2 linked regions of the Macaca mulatta genome follow. The protein of the gene in region 1 binds, or shares a complex with, the protein of each later gene. Links are inferred from orthologs where the notes say so. Each region holds a gene or a part of one and is shown on either strand. Other genes may lie near its edges. The genes, in order: IMMT and CHCHD3.

Region 1 (8,609 bases):
TAGGGGGTGTTACCTTGGAACACTATTGTTGCCAACTTGATCTCCCACCTATGGTGGCCACTTTGAGTCCAAAAATAGGCACATACGCTAGACAAGTATATTGAGACATTCATAAAAATTCTTTGAATTGGCAATGGGAGTCATTGCACACTTTTTTTTTTTTTTTTTTTTTTTTTTGAGACGAGGTCTTGGTCTGTTGCTCAGGCTTGAGCGATCACAGCTCACTGCAGCCTCGACCTCCTAGGCTAAAGCAATCCTCCCACCTAAGCCTCCTGAGTAGCTGAGACTACAGGCACACACCACCACACCTGGCTAATTTTTAATTTTTTTGTAGAGACCTAGCTCTCACTATGTGAGCCCAGGGTGGTCTCAATTGTTTGGTCCTGGAATCAAACATTTCTCCCACCTCGGCCTCCCAAAGTGCTAGGATTACAGGTGTGAGCCACTGAGCCTGGCCTCACTGCACATTTTTGAACAAGTGAGTGATTTGATTTAAATTTTGCTTTTTAGAGACAGGGTCTGAGTGCAGTGGTGCAATCACTGCAGCCTGTAATTCCTGGGCTCAAGGGATCCTCCCACCACAGCCTTCCAAGTAGCTGGCACCATAGGTATGCACAATCATCCCCTGCTAATTAAAAAAAAATTGTTTGTAGAGATGAGGCCTCGCTTTTTTTTTTTTTTTTTTTTTGGAGACACTCTCGCTCTGTTGCCCAGGCTGGAGTGCAGTGGCACAATCTCGGCTCACTGCAAGCTCCGCCTCCCAGGTTCATGCCATTCTCCTGCCTCAGCCTCCCGAGTAGCTGGGACTACAGGTGCCTGCCACCACGCCCGGCTAATTTTTTGTATTTTTTTTTCAGTAGCGACGGGGTTTCACCGTGTTAGCCAGGATGGTCTCGACCTCCTGACCTCGTGATCCACCCCCCTCGCCCTCCCAAAGTGCTGGAAGAGGCCTCGCTCTTTTGCTCAGGCAGGTATCAAACTCCTGGGCTCAAGTGATCCTGCCACCTCAGTCTGCCAAAATGCCGGGATATGAACCAACACACCCAGCCCCTGATAACTTTTTTTTTTTTTTTCTGAGACGGAGTTTCGCTCTGTGCCCCAGTCTAGAGTGCAGTGGTGTGATCTCTGCTCACTGCAACCTCTGCTTCCTGGGTTCAAGCGATTCTCCTGCTTCAGCTTCCCAAGTAGCTGGGATTACAGGCGCGCACCACCAAGCCCAGCTAATTTTTGTATTTTTAGTAGAGAGGGGTTTCACCATGTTGGCCAGGTTGGTCTCAAATTCCCGACCTCTGGTGATCCGCCCACCTCGGCCTCCCAAAGTGCTGGGATTACAGGTGTGAGCCACAGCGCCCAGCTTCCCTGATAACATTTTAAAGCAAAAATATTGACAACTTGCATGTGGAGAGTGAGGACTCTCCACATAGGTTATGAGGGGTTGGGAGACTAATTTTGAAGTTTGAGATCTTGAAGCTAGAGAGGTTGCTAATGATGTTCAGGTGCAAGTTGTGGCTGTGATGTACATGACTGAAGCAGGATGAAAGCGTTCACTGGCATTGAGAAGTTCAAAGCCAAGGGTGTTAGAAAAGTCATCACACCGGCACCATTGGGCATGACAGCAGTGGGCAGGGAGGCAGCAATTCAATCTAAAGAAAACGGGAGACTGCTCTGGAAGCTAAGTGAAAGAGATACGAAACTGAGTATATGTAATTACTGTAGTCCCCTAAAAACCATAGAAGATATACAAACATAACCCTTTGATTTTAGATAATTTTCAAGTCTCTCTCTCCATGTTACAAGTCATAGCGCAGCCTACCTCTACAGAGAATACATACTGTAATAAATTACCCAGTTAAGACTTGGAATACTTTGCAAACTCAGTACAAGATAGAAAAGTTAGTTTCCATGATATTGCAATAAGATGTTAATAATATTAATATTAACGTATTAATTCTGGAGCATACATGGAGTATTAATACCATGCTTAATATTTAACGTTTTATTTTGATTATCGAATCAATGGAATACTTTTTTTTTTTTTTTTTTGATACGGAGCTTAGCTCTTGTTGCCTAGGCTGGAGTGCAATGGCATGATCTCAGCTCACTGCAACCTCCGCCCCCGCCCCGCCCCGCCCCGGGCTCAAGCAATTCTCCTGCCTCAGCCTCCCGAGTAGCTGGGATTACAGGCACCCGCCAGCATGCCCAGCTAAATTTCTGTATTTTTTAGTAAAGACGGGGTTTCACTATTTTGGCCAGGCTGGTCTCGAATTCCTGACCTCAGGCGACCCGCCCGCCTCGGCCTCCCAAAGTGCTGGTATTACAGGGGTGAGCCACCGTGCCCGGCCCAGTGGAATACTTTTAACGGTGCTTCTGCGCTGACTTCCCATCTTCCAACCCATCCACAAATTGCAGCCAAAATGATATTACTACAGTAAAAACTTGGAGAACGCAGTGTGGTTTAATCTGGAAGAGCAGAAGCTGTGGAGTCCAAAGGACCCGTGTTCCTATCCTTGTTGTGCCACTTGACACGTTCCACACAAGGGTCCCTACAGTGTTCGTTCACCGTTTCCAGCAATCAGGATGACTCCCTGAAGGGCCGTCAGACGAAACAAACGCGCAACCTGTGACAACTGCATTGTTTACGTAACTTTCGCCAAATAGGCTCCTTCCTACGAAATATCTAGCTCACAGAGCCAGGTGAGATTCTTTTTTGCTTTAATTCTCTGAAGAGCCACAGATGTCCATTTTCCGCGTGAGTCTGAAGACTGGATTTCAGAACGCTCTCCTTCCAGCCGCGTTCACCTAGTAACCCCAGCTCCGGGCTAAGGACCTGCAGCCCGAGCGCGACCCGGAAAAGGAATCCGCCCTTTTCGCCTCCTGCGCACCAATCGCCCGGCGTTGGCGTTTCCGCAGCCGGGACAGAGCCCACCCTCTAAGAGCCACCGAGTTGCTGCGGGCAGAAGGGGCCGCGCGTGCGCAGTGGCATCGGCTGCGCTTCCGGTGCGCCGGGCGCGGACGCGGGTACGCACACACGCAAGCACGCCTCCACTTAACTCGCGCCGCCTTGGCAGCTCCCGAGTCCAGCAGCAGTGCCGTCCGCTCGACCGAGATGCTGCGGGCCTGTCAGTTATCGGGTGTGACCGCTGCCGCCCAGGTGAGCACTGGGGCATCCGAGGGCGCGTGAGGAGGCTGACCTAGGACCGCCAGCGAAAAACGGGGGAGCCTTGGGCCCTGCCTAGCCTCCAGGACAAAGGCGAGTCTCTGGGCTACCCTCGTCGGGAGAGGCCTGGGCTGGCAACGAGGCAGCCACCAGGGAGTTCGCCAGACTGGGATGACTTGAGGTTATTGCAGCAGCGGGGTGAGGTGTGGAGAGTAGCGGGAGGCGCGGCTTCGAGGGCGTGCAGTCCAATCAGCGCCGCGCTGCCCCCGTCCAGGACCAATCCTGACTGCTGGCGTCTGGGTCGCCGGTTGGGCGCGCGATAGGTTTTTAGTGCTGAAGGTCGACGGGGGAGAACTACAGTTCCCGGCAGGACGAGCGGAGCCGCGGCTTGTTGCATCCTTAATAAGGAGGTGCCTGGACTTCTAGCGAGTGTCCACATTTTAGGGGTCAAGGTTGTAATTATCTGTGAGGGACTGCCTTTCTTTTCGCAGCTGGGAACACTTATGCACTATTCTTAATCCAAACAAAAGCGAAAGATTTTCCTTTGTGGAGTTGAAACTCCTGGTCTTCAAGGAAAGACAGGAGTCATGACCTTGTGGCTCATTTCTGAGATTAGGACAGGGATCTGTGTCTCCAGGCGCTGGGACTACTTTGACATTCAAGAAGCCTAAATACCCAGTTACTTTTAGTTTTGCGTAATTGCCAAAGTTACTTTCTAAAATTGAAAATAAAAAAGCCTGTTTCCATTGCTCACGATTATCAGAAAGTTGATATTTTGGCAAAATGTTGTAGATAGCAAAACAAGTACTGTGACTAAAGCAGTAAGTGAACAGAATCCCTAGGAAGAGTGAGTTAGAGATCATAAAAGTCAAGCTTTGTTTTTTCAAGTTCGCTTCTCTTCCTATTTGCTGCTAGGTAACAGAAGCAACCCCTTCCATAGGAAAGTGGAACGAACCTACGTTAGTTTTCTATTGTACGTAACAACCACAAATTTAGCAGAACCTTACGGGTTCTGTAGGATAGAAGCCTGGTCATGGATGATCTGTGTTCTCCCCTCCAGGTCACACAAGGCTGCAAAGTATTAGCCATGCTGTGGTTCTCATTTGGAGATCTGGGTCCTCTTCCAGGCTAATGCAGTTTGTGGGCAGAATTCAGTCCGTTGCAGTTACACGACTGAAGTCCCTTTTTTCTTGCTGCCTCTTGTCAGCCACTGCTCCCAGCTTCTACAGCCTACCCACAGTTCCTTGCCTCAAGGCTTCCAGAGGCCATTCATAACATGGATGGCTGCTTTCGTGCAGGCTACCAGGATCTTGCCTCTCTAACTTCCAAATTTCTTTTATTTCGGTCTTTCCTCTCTAGACCCAGATTTAAAAGGCTTGTGTGATTAGACCAGGCCCACCTGGATGACCTCCTTTTCAGTTAATGCAGAGTCAAGTTTTTGGGATCCCATTTGGGAAATAAGAAAACTAATTAAAACTTTGTAATAAAAAATGAACCCTTTTATAGCTCTGAATCCAGATGTCTAAACTTCCTGAAATTGCTATCTTGTAAAATTCTTTGGTTTATTCTCACCATCTCCTCAATCATTCTGTAGCATTTGACATCTGCTTTATGAGGCTCTGCACTTTTGGCTTCTCTCAAGTAATATTTTGGGTCCCATCTAGTTTTCCCTCACTGAGTCTGCTGCTTCTTCATACCTCGAAATATACACCTTCTCATCTCTCCCTGTCTCTATAGACTCTCCAATTTGAGATTACATCAACTGTCAGAACTTTAATCCCCAAGCAGATGACTCTCGAGCCTTATCGTATTTGATTGTGCCAACTTATCCAGAATATCTCACGTGTCAAGATCCTTTCCACTTTATTAAACCCCATCTTTCTTTTTTTTTTTTTTTTTTTTTTGGATACGGAGTGTCACTTTGTCACCCAGGCTGGAGTGCAGTGGCGCAATCATGGCTCACTGCAGCCTTGACCTCCCGAGCGCAAGCAGTCCTCTTACCTCAGCCTCCTGAGTAGCTGGGACCACAGGCATGTGCCGCCATCCCTGGCTAATTTTTTAAAAAATTTTTGTAGAGACAGAGTCTCTCTGTGTTGCCCAGGCTGTTCTCAATCTCCTGAGCTCAAATGATCCTCCCACTTCTGCCTCCCAAAATGCTGGGAATATAGGTGTGAGCCACTGTGCCCAGCCAACCCCATCTTCTTAAATGTCTTACTGCTTTTACTGTTGCCTCCTAGAGTCCATTCTTTAGGAGGGAATAGTAAAAGCAGTAAGACATATAGTAAAAGGCTTTTTAAAAGGCAAACATGCAAACATGAGGTCATGCTCTTTAGAGACATCCCATCACATTCATAATAAAATCTAAACTGCTTACCATGGGCCCTTGATCTGATTCTTCTCGTATTTCGTTTTTCTACTGCCTCACTCATATTCTCCTGGTAATCTCCAGCATGTGCCTCACTGCCTTTTCATCAGTTGTTTCTTTTGCCCTGAACTCTTCTCACACATGTTTGCTTAGCTTATTCCTTTCAGGTGTTTTTTCAAATGTCACCTTCCCTTCAGAGAGGGCATCCTGATCCAAAATAAAATTCTCACTACTCTGGCCTTCCTTGCATCACTGTATCTTTACCCCATCCTACTTTGTTATACTTTGTAGCTCCTAGCACTACCTGATGTTATAATGTGTACTTATTACACAGTTTCCACCTTTAAAAAGTAAGCTCCACAATGGAACTGTGTCCATATTGTTTACTGCTGTATTTCCAGTGTTGACAATAGTCCCTAGCTCCAAGTAGATGCTCAGTGAATGTTTATGACATATAAATGAAAGAATGAATGTGTTCATAAATTTTTTTTGTTCTTTTTTTTGAGACGGAGTCTCGCTCTGTCGCCCAGGCTGGAGTGCCGTGGCCGTATCTCAGCTCACTGCAAGCTCTGCCTCCCGGGTTCATGCCATTCTCCTGCCTCAGCCTCCCGAGTAGCTGGGACTACAGGCGCCCGCCACCTCGCCTGGCTAGTTTTTTGTATTTTTTAGTAGAGACGGGGTTTCACCGTGTTAGCCAGGATGGTCTCGATCTCCTGACCTCGTGATCCACCCATCTCGGCCTCCCAAAATGCTGGGATTACAGGCTTGAGCCACCGCGCCCGGTCAAAAATTTTTTAGAGATGGGGTCTCATTGTGTTTCCCAGGCTGGTCTTCAACTCCTGGGCTCAAGTGATATGCCCACCTCGGCCTCCCAAAGTGGAATTTTTCTTAAATCTGCGTAAGTGGATGTGACCTCCCTTTAAACATCCCATATATTTTCAAACCTCTGATTATGTATTAAGGTTCTCCAGAGAAACAGAAACAATAGGGGTGTGTGTGTGTGTGGTGGGTGTGTGTGTGTGCACGCGTGTGTTGAGATAGGGTCTCATTCTGTTGCCCAGGCTGGAGTACAGCAGCGTGATCATAACTCAGTGCAGTCTCAATCTCCTGGGCTTAAGCGATCCTCCCACCTCACCTCCTGAGCAGCTGGGACTACAGGCTTAGGCTGCCATGCCCAGCCAATGTTTTGGACTTTTAGTAGAGATGGGGTCTCGCAATGTTGTTCCAGCTCATCTTGAACTTCTGGGCTCAAGCAATCTCCCGACCCTGTCCTCCCCAAAGTGCTGGGATTACAGGCATGAGTCATAGTGCTCAGCCTAGGAAGATTTATTTATTTATTTATTTATTTATTTATTTTTGAGACGGAGTCTTGCTCTGTCACCCAGGCTGGGTTTGGCTTACTGCAAGCTTCGTCTCCCGGGTTCACGCCATTCTCCTGCCTTAGCCTCCTGAGTAGCTGGGACTACAGGTGCCTGCCACCAAGCCCAGCTAATTTTTTTTTTTTTTTTTTTTTTTTTTTGTATTTTTAGTAGAGATGGGGTTTCACTGTATTAGCCAGGATGGTCTTGATCTCCTGACCTCGTGATCCACCCACCTCGGCCTCCCAAAATGCTGGTATTACAGGCGTGAGCCACCACCCGACTGGAAGATGCATCATAAGAACTCTACTCACACAGTTATGGAGGCTAGCAAGTCCAGAATCTGCTGTGTGGGTTGGCAGGCTGGAGACCTAGGAGAGCCAATATTGCAGTTTCAGTCCACTGGCTAGCAGCCTGGAGACCCAGGAGAGTGGATCATGCAGTTTCAGTCTGGAGGCAGTCTGCTAGAGAACTGCCTCTTGCTTTTTGTTGTGTTTGAGCCTTCAACTGATTGAATGAAGCCCACCCATGTTATAGGGCAATTTTTTTTTTTTTTTTTTTTTTTTTTTTGAGACAGGATCTTGCTCTGTCACCCAGGCTGGAGTGCATTGGTGCAATCTCAGCTGACTGCAACCTCCATCCACCAGGCTCAAGCCATCCTCCCACCTCAGCCTCCTGAGTAGCTAGGACTGCAGGCATGCACCACCACACCCAGCTAATTTGTATTTTTGTTTTTTCTGTAGAGACAGGGTTTTGCTGTATTACCCAGGCTGGTCTGAAACTCCTGGGCTCAAGCAATCCACCCGTCTTTGCCTCCCAAAGTGCTGGGATTATAGGAGTGAGCCATCATGCCTGGCCACTAGTTCACCAATTAAAATGTTAATCTCATCCAAAAACACAATCCAAGTTGACACACAAAATGAACCATCACAGATAATATCTACCTTATTCTTTGTTGTTGTTGTTGTTGAAATGGAGTCTTGCTCTGTTGCCCAGGCTGGAATGCAGTGGTGCGATCTCGGCTCACTGCAACCTCCGCCTCCCGGATTCAAGCAATTCTCCTGCCTCAGTCTCTCAAGTGACTGGGACTGCAGGTGCGTGCCACCGTGCCCAGCTAATATTTTTAGTAGAGACAGGGTTTCACCGTATTAGCCAGGATGGTCTTGATCTTCTGACCTTGTGATCCGCCCGCCTTGGCCTCACAAAGTGCTGGGATTACAGGCATAAGCCACTGCGCCCGGCCCAGTATCTACCTTATTCTTTATGTTTGGGCTTATCATCCTTGCATGCCTTAGATGTGGGTATTCAGTAAATGTGCTTTAGAACTCTGGTCCTTCCTGTTTTTGTTTTTTTTTTCTCAGACCTAACACCATCTTTCTTCTGTTAGTCCCAGTGTTGCATTGCCAGGCCCAGCCTTTTTGAAGTGGTCATTGAGTTGGAGGACATGGGCTTTCCACCTAGCCTAGCCCTCTCTCAAACTACAAAGTGATCATTTATATATGGAGTAGTCTTTCCTGCTTATAACTCGAAAGAAGAAGAAACATTATTCTGGAGGATCAACCACGCCAGCTTATTTAAGACCAAGTTTGATAACCCAGCTAGTTTAGGATTGAACTTGTGTGGGGACATGAGCTATCATCTTCTAGAATTCCTTCTTTCTGTTAGGATTATGAAACATTATGTTGCTCAGTGATAGAGATAGGCAGCCAACCGCACGTGCTAGAAAGTA
Region 2 (8,010 bases), on another chromosome or scaffold:
CAGCAGGGGAGTCCCATCGTGTCAGGGTGTGGGTGTGTTACTCTCCCCTGAGCACCACAGAGAAGCCTCAGCCTCTACCAGCTGTCATGTGGCCACATGTTGTTAAATTCCTGCTCTCCTAGGTTTTTCCACCCTGCCCCCCATCATTTCCAAGGACCCAGTATTATTGAATAAGAAAAACACATTGCAAAATTGAAAAGTTGTTTGCTCACCTTACATTTTGGTGTGTTTGTACCCGTCTGTTTAGGGTGTATGAGGCCTATTGGCATAAGAACTGTGTATCTGTGTGTATAGAGTGCTGTGTTGCTCATTTTAGCAGGGATAGGTGGCCAGAGGTCCTCTCTTTTGGATTTTCTTGGGTTTAGGGCTTTTACTCAGAGTCCTAACACTGGAGTGGAAGGCTGGCAGTGCTTTCCCCTCCTGCCCTCCAGGTCACGCTCCCCCTGTGGATCCAGACTATGGAATTGTGAACCTGACATCTTTTTCCAAAGTCAATAGTGGATTAAAATTAAAATGTTAAATCTTAAAGTATTTTCAGATACATACTATTCTTTCAAACCTTGGGTTTACAGGATATAATTTTATATGCTCTGTTTTCTAGCTAGCCAAAGCTAAGCTTTTCTTTTAAAGCCCAAGCTGAAGCTATTCGATTAAATAGTAAGGCCCTCATTACAGGTCATGGTCTGCTCTCAGTGTGACTGGTTCGTTGAGCTAAGTGCTGAACTAGGTGATGTCCAGGTCAGCATTCCTTTCTCTGGTAACAGTGGAGGCCGCTTGGCATTTTGTGTTGTGATGGTAGAAAACGTATTAGTTAACATTCATCATGTTAGTAATCAAAAGAAATTGTATCTCAAATTGTATATGAAAACAAATGGAAACAAAGCAGGCAGCTTTTGGAGCTATTTGGACCACTTTAGAGAGGGCCCTCTAAAGTGTAATTGTGGAAATTTGATTATAGCTCAAATGGAAATATCATTAATAAAAGGGTTAGCAGTTATTAAGAATGTCAGAAAAGCTTAAAATTGAATTTTTCAGATCTTGCATTGTTAGAGGCTATTTACATTTTACTCTGAAAACAAATATTAGGATATTTAGATTTAAGGTAAAATCAAAAAGTTAATATAGTACATTTCAGATATTTTCTTTATATTGCATTTTACAATAGATTAATTATAAGTGATAAGAGAAACAAAAGTAAAGGATTACATATTTTTAAATATTGGCAATGTGCCTAGTAGCTTTAGTTTTGCATTTTAAAAGGAAAGCAGAAATCCTAATCACCGGGTTTAACAGCTAATAAAAAGTTGGTAGAGAAAAAAATTAGAGTTTTGCATTGTGATATAGGAACTAGACCTAAAGATTTGATTCCCTGATTGTGTCGTGTGTCTGCTTTTAGTGTAAAATATGGTTTTATGAGACCACCTGATCCCGTGAAGGATGCATTATCACAACCTGTTAAAAAAAAAAAATTAGAATTCTCCTTTTAACACCAGCCATTCTCATATTCATTTTCTCTCTCCCTCCTTCTTTCCTTCTTGTTCCTTCTCTTCTCCCTCTCTCTGGTCTTTCATCATAGTATCTGTAGAACTCTCTCAGCGTACTTCTGGTTCAGGTACAGAGAAAGGATCCTTTCCTTGCATGCCTACACTCATAATGAGTGACTTCAGTGTCCTCTAGAGCCTTGGGAGTTGTGGCTGCCAGCTGATTGAGTGGAGAGTGGTGTGAGGAGTGTTATCTCCATATTTTTTCCTTCTCTGAAGTTACCTTATTATCCTCACCATTAACATTAGCAGAACTAAAAAGATGGGTAAGTAGTTTTCTTGAAATGTAAACCTCAGACCCACATCAAAGAAGATTCTAAGACTTGAAAGTAGAGGCAGCAGTGGAACCAACAGATAGTTTTAAAACAGAAAACCAAGTGTAACTGTGTTACGGAGTCTTAAGAGGGGACTTCTGAATACTCCCTCTGGTTTGTTTTTGCTAAAACTGTTTTTGTTTCTCTTTGATCAATTAATTTAACTTACAGGAAAGTCTCCTAAGGTAATAATCAGAAATGGTAGTAATAATTTATGTCCTTCATGTTTTTTAAGCAGTGAAAAATTAGAAACAGCCTAAATGTGTATCTTTATTCTTTTCTGTCTTTTTCCACAGTTTCTACAATAGACCTGTTAGTATAATGAGAAAAAATACTTGGATATATATTTTTAGATGCCTTTTAAGTGAATATTAACATTAAACATTAGCCAAAAAATGTTTTGCTGGTGACAGGCTACAGAATACCTACCAAAAGTGCTTCTTCTGATTTTGTTCCGGGGTCAAATCTTTGGGACTCCAGTTCTACCTTTGGTACTGTCAGCAACCCCTTGGGCCTTTGGTGCCACTGTATGGGGTAGGGAGGGCCAAAGGGAGGGCGGGCTGCTAGTGCTTGTGGAGATGAGGGGAGAGGAAGGGAAGAGCAGAGTAAAAGAGTACAAGAAAGAAAAGAAAAGAGACGTGTGTACATATGGTAGGATCCATGAAAGGTTCCCAGTAATTTCAAGTGACCACAAAACTGAATTTTTTTTTCTTGTTTTTGTTAAATGTATATTTTCGAAGGTTGACTCTGTTCCACCGATTTTTTCTTGCTAAACATGTTTTTGAGTAACTATCAGATCTTCCCACTTCTTTATTAGTGTTTTAAGTTTTCCATATCTGTATTTTATCCTTAACATTGTTATTCACCATTTATTTGCCTCTTCCTTACGTACAAAGAAATTAACTTGTCTAATCATCCTTTGCTGCTAAGATTGAATTTTCCTTCCTAGGTATCTTGAAAGTCTGCCTTTCATTATTTTTGCCTAATAGGGGCTTTTTCCATCAGCAGGAATGAAAGCAGTCAATAAAAGTCAATTGCTGACTCTATGATTATATGGAGGGTTTACCATAATGCATATTGGAAATGTTTTTGAAACCTTTATCCTGAATGGAAGGTGCCATGGCTTGTGTTTTATGGCCTTCTAATGTTAGACAGCAATCTCATTTAGCATTTTCCCAAAGTGAAAACAGTGCATTAGGGCAGTATAACAAGCTTTACAGATCAATACAGAGGCAAACCTTTACCCTTACAGATTAATCCAAGAAAGTGTCCCAGAGTCTACTCCAGGAGCTGGAGGACAATTATGCATCCTCTTCCCCTCTTTCTACCATCGAATCATTAATACAGATTGAAATGTGTACAAAAAGAATATCAGAGGATGACTACACACACACACACACACACACACACACACACACACACACACACACACACACACACACACACACACACACACACAGAACAGACCACCAGACGGGAAATCAAGAGCCCTGGAAGTGAGTAGTATTGATTTGTGGTGATAAAAGTATATTTTGACACATTTCAAATCATAAATAACTCATGGACTTTAACTTGCATGACTAATAGCTCAACTCAGGATACATGCTTATCTACAACTTAAACTACCTCTTTCTGAGGAGTCCATAACATTAGGTGAATTATCCCATTGTGAGTAGTCTTTTTAAAGGAAAAAATACGCTGTCTTCTTTATGATGTGCAGTGTGGCTGCTCATTTTTACAGTCTTTTCCTGTATGTTAATGAGGAAGGGCTGCATATCTGGTCAGGGTTGTTCTAGCCTTCCCTCCTCACCTCCTTCCCCCTGCTTTTAAATCTGAGACACATTGGAGACAGGATCAGTTGTCAACACTAGGATACAATGTAACCCCGCTTTCCTGTGAGCTATTAGTCATTAGTCATGTATATGCTAGGTTCAGCTGATCTGATGCTTAATCATATTTTATTCAATATTTATCTAGATGCAGGTCTTGCTATAATTAGTCACTTAGTGGTATCTGTGCCTATACTCTTTGAAGCACGACTGATTCCTTTTAAATCCTGATGTTCATGGTAAAGGATTAGGGAAATCTGTGTCCAGAAAAATTCATAGACATCTGAAGTTTGAAATCTTAAAGCATGGAAACTCCGGGGATTCTATTTAAATTCTGTTCTTAGGTATTTGACAAAGCAGTAAGGTAATGAATGAAAAAGTAAAAGGGATGTTATAGAAAAATTGCTGAAACTTTTTTTTTTCTCTGTATGTCTGTGTTCTTTAGAGGGTAGTAGGAAGTCAGGGAACTGCCAACATGCTTTGCGTTTCTATTCTAGCAAAATAGATATTAGCTTAGTGTACTGGATAAAAGGACTGAGGAGACAAATCGTCGCCCAGGGGTTTCTTTATTGATGAGAAATATTCCCCCTGTGTTCTCTAGGGGTTTTTTTTTTAGAACCCATTAAGTTTAAAATAATGTGATTTCAAGATTACTATGGAAATAACAAATTTAAATTTCAAAAATAGAAGTGATAAGACTGGAAGCTTGTATTAAAACTAATTTGAAAAAACATGAATTTCTAGATTAAAAGTAGTAGTACTGTGTTTTTTTTTTCTCTGTATGTATTTAGTCCTTACAATCCAAACTTCCCTGCCATGTTAATAAGAATATTTTACCTTCATTTGTATAACTCATTTGGTTTATTATCATTTTTCAAGCGTATATTATAAGCTTTTTGGAAACATTTACATTTGGTCTCAGATATTCACAGAAGCAATCTGACTAAAATCTGAGATTTGTAAGTATAAGTAGCAAAATTTTAACCCAAGGGACTTTAAAATGTTTTCTTTGTACCCATTTGTATTCACTGAGTAAATGTATTACATGACTTCTGTAGGGGTTCCCATGTCTAATAGCTGAGGTGACAAAATAAGTCACAGCCCTTGGAATTTGCATTCTAGTAAATGTAGGTTGCTAAATTGTATTAGGTTGTATGGTGTAGTCACTGTCACGTGCATGGCAAGAAAAGTGAATACAGAACCAATGGGGTCACCATAAAGGGAATGATAGACTGTACCGGGGTTGGGGGGTGGAGAGCTAATGAAGCTGACACTTGAGTGAAGTATCAAAGGATGAGTAGGTTTTCTCCAGATATATAGGCATAGGTGGGAGTTTGGGTGTAGAACATTTCCAGAAGCAAGAGCAGCATGAGCTTAGACCTGAAGAGAAGTGTAAGAACCAAACCCTGAACTGGGTTTGTCTAGGCTTCAGCTGTGTGCAGGGTGTGGGGGTGAAGGCAACAGGGTAGGCAGGAACCTGCTCAGGAAGGACTAGCCAGCTGGCCTTGTATTTTGTGTAGAAAGTGCTGGGGAAAGAGACCGTCTTCGATTTCCTATTGGAAAGAACCCTCTGGAAGGTGTGTAGGGGCAGGTGAAGAGGGTATCAAAGCTGAGAGACCAGCTGGGAGGTCATTTCTTGAGTCCAGGATGCGTCTCACTTGGAAGCAATGGAACGACAGTGATGTGGAGCAAGAGGACCAGGCTGCGGGGATCCCCAGCTTTGTGGCCAAGTGGATATGGGAATGGAAGAGAGAACTTAGGGCTTCCAAGTTTCTGGCATGTTGATACGGTTTTGGTTTGGAAGGGACGGTTATATTGTCCAGACTAACTCACAGCAGTGTCAGTTAATGGAACTCATTTCTTAGAATTTATTTACCCTTTGTCATTTTTATCATGGGAAAAATTTAGCTATCTTTAAAGTTTAAGGAAAATTCTTTCTCTTAAACTTTTTTCTACATTTGCAACATCTGTGTCTTACTGTACGTTTTGTGTATTCTTTAACCTTGATTGTTATTCTGAATGAAGACCATTGGTCTCAGCGGTCCCTGTGTTTGTTTTCAGGCGGTATGAGTCTCATCCAGTCTGTGCTGATCTGCAGGCCAAAATTCTTCAGTGTTACCGTGAGAACACCCACCAGACCCTCAAATGCTCCTCTCTGGCCACCCAGTATATGCACTGTGTCAATCATGCCAAACAGGTAGGTGTGCCAGCCAGGCCAGTGGGGGCACTGGGCAAATCGAAAACTGGATGACCTGGGGCAGTGGTAAGGACTAAGTGGGCCGCTGTGTGTGAAAAGGCTTTCTAAGCCCTAGTCATCATCATCAAGAATTACTGTAATGAGTTGATTAGGGCATAACTTCTGTCGGATCATTGTCAAAGAGCCCATATCTTCCTTGCGTTCAACTCATTTACTTGCAGAAAAAAGGATTCTACTAAGATTATACTTTTCTCCACTTGCCCTGAGCTTTTGTCTTCTAATAATAATGTTCTCAAGGTCATTCCTCATACTTTGAGGCCAATATTTAGAGCCAGTGAAGAGGATACAGATTAAGAGCTGGCACCTTTGGGCCCATAAGCAGCAGGTAGTCAGGCAGAGGGCCAGGTTAAAAAAAAAACCCCACCGTTCAGTCACTGTCCAACCCTTCCACTAGTTTGACAGAGTCCACTTAATTGGACAGGGAAAGGGAAACCAGAGATAGCATTTAAAAAAGAATTCCACTGCTTTTATAGACCATAGCCATATTCTTCTCTTGACCCTTCATATCAGAATAATACGATGTTCACAGGACGTGCATTTTCTCTAATTTATGTACTTTAGAAAGCTAATGATAAACCCTGAAGCAAATTATCCATTCTGGCAGGTCACATAATTGCCTATCATTTAACCAATTTAACCGTTGGATATAGGTTGTTCTGAGAGGCGGAAATTGTTGGAAACCTTGATTCCTTCTGCTGACAAACTCCATAGATTTGACCTTCTAACCCAACTAAATCTAGTGTTTGAGTTACACAGCATGCCTTTCTGCAGCCTAATTTGCTGTAGTTATAATAATATCACTTGGGGTAAAATTTTTATACTCTACAAATATCCGATGGGAGGGTTAGTATTGTCTGGATAGCTGGAAAATAACAGTAACATTGGTGGAAAAAAATATAATCAATATTTATTAAAAGCCTATGTTGTCCTTAAAAGCCTAGTGGCTGGCAACTTTTTTCTGTTTCTTGCTTGTAGCATAACTCTTCGTAGCGTGCCAGGAATCCTTTTCTTTAAAGGTCTTTGGTAGAGGTAATGTTGCTGATGTTAAGTTAGTACATTTTATTTGTCGAAAACAGCTTCTGATATGCTCTTAATAAACCCCAGCCTTCAATATGAATACAAACTGAAGGACTTGGGACTTGTAGGTTGATTCATGGATTTTTCTAACTTGATAATAGTGCCTTATTGAGGTGGTGGCCAGTGGAAAAGAGTGACTGTGACAAAGTGTATGTTTCAATGCTGGTCTCTAACATACGTGCCTGTTTGTACCATGTGATTTGTAACATTACCACAGTGGCAGCCGCAGGGGCATTGGGAGTGCTGACCCCATCCTGCCTGTCTGGGTTGTGTTGAATTATCTACACATAGTCCTGTGACATCAATGGTATATATTTATAGAATATAGCAAAGTTAAGTTATGACAAAATCAAATACACCACATGGCGCGATAGCGCGTTTGAATCTGGCAGACCTGAGTTTGTACCCTGTCCTTTTACTAGCTCTGTGACCTCGGGGCTTGAGTTTTCTCATCTGTAAATTGGGGTAATGTTGTAAGGATTACCTTTATATAAAGTATTCAGTAAATCTTATTTTTCCCCTTCTTTCCTCAGTTGCATTATTGTGCGGAAATTTACTAAACAGGTCAGCCAAAAGCATCAAATTATTATTAATGATTTCAAAAGAGACCCTCTTTTTTCCCCCTCAATCTCCAGTCTGTTATTTTCAGCTAGTATGTTTGGAGTATCTATTGTTTTCATGGCTCTTGTATTCAGTTATTAGGAGGTGTATAATACAAGTTAGTATTAAAAAGATAGAAGCCGTCAAACCTTTTTTCCTAAGATGGGCAACATTGAAATGGACAAGAACCAAGAAGCTGCACTGCCTGACATTTCTGCAGTAGTTAGGAGTGCACGGCCATTTCACATCCATTCTTTTACTTGTTTTCTTATGACAACCTGAGATGTAAATAGAGATGGTTTTATTTTCACCATTTTCCAGTTGAGAGCATTGAAACTCAGGGAAGTCACAATAGTAAATCACAGCTAGACCAAGATGTACCTTGCCATAAA

Evidence for each region.
Region 2: IMMT (region 1) and CHCHD3 share a complex: the UniProt entries of both Homo sapiens proteins name them as parts of the mitochondrial contact site and cristae organizing system (MICOS) complex. The link is inferred for Macaca mulatta from reciprocal best matches to the Homo sapiens genes IMMT and CHCHD3.

What each region holds. Positions count from the first base shown.
Region 1 is NC_133418.1:38,186,778-38,195,386, forward strand, and holds the start of IMMT (MICOS complex subunit MIC60), read left to right. Parts: upstream 1-3,024; 5' UTR 3,025-3,106; coding exon 3,107-3,151; intron 3,152-8,609. UniProt on the Homo sapiens protein: Component of the MICOS complex, a large protein complex of the mitochondrial inner membrane that plays crucial roles in the maintenance of crista junctions, inner membrane architecture, and formation of contact sites to the outer membrane.
Region 2 is NC_133408.1:172,496,011-172,504,020, reverse strand, and holds part of CHCHD3 (MICOS complex subunit MIC19), read left to right. Parts: intron 1-5,745; coding exon 5,746-5,881; intron 5,882-8,010. UniProt on the Homo sapiens protein: Component of the MICOS complex, a large protein complex of the mitochondrial inner membrane that plays crucial roles in the maintenance of crista junctions, inner membrane architecture, and formation of contact sites to the outer membrane.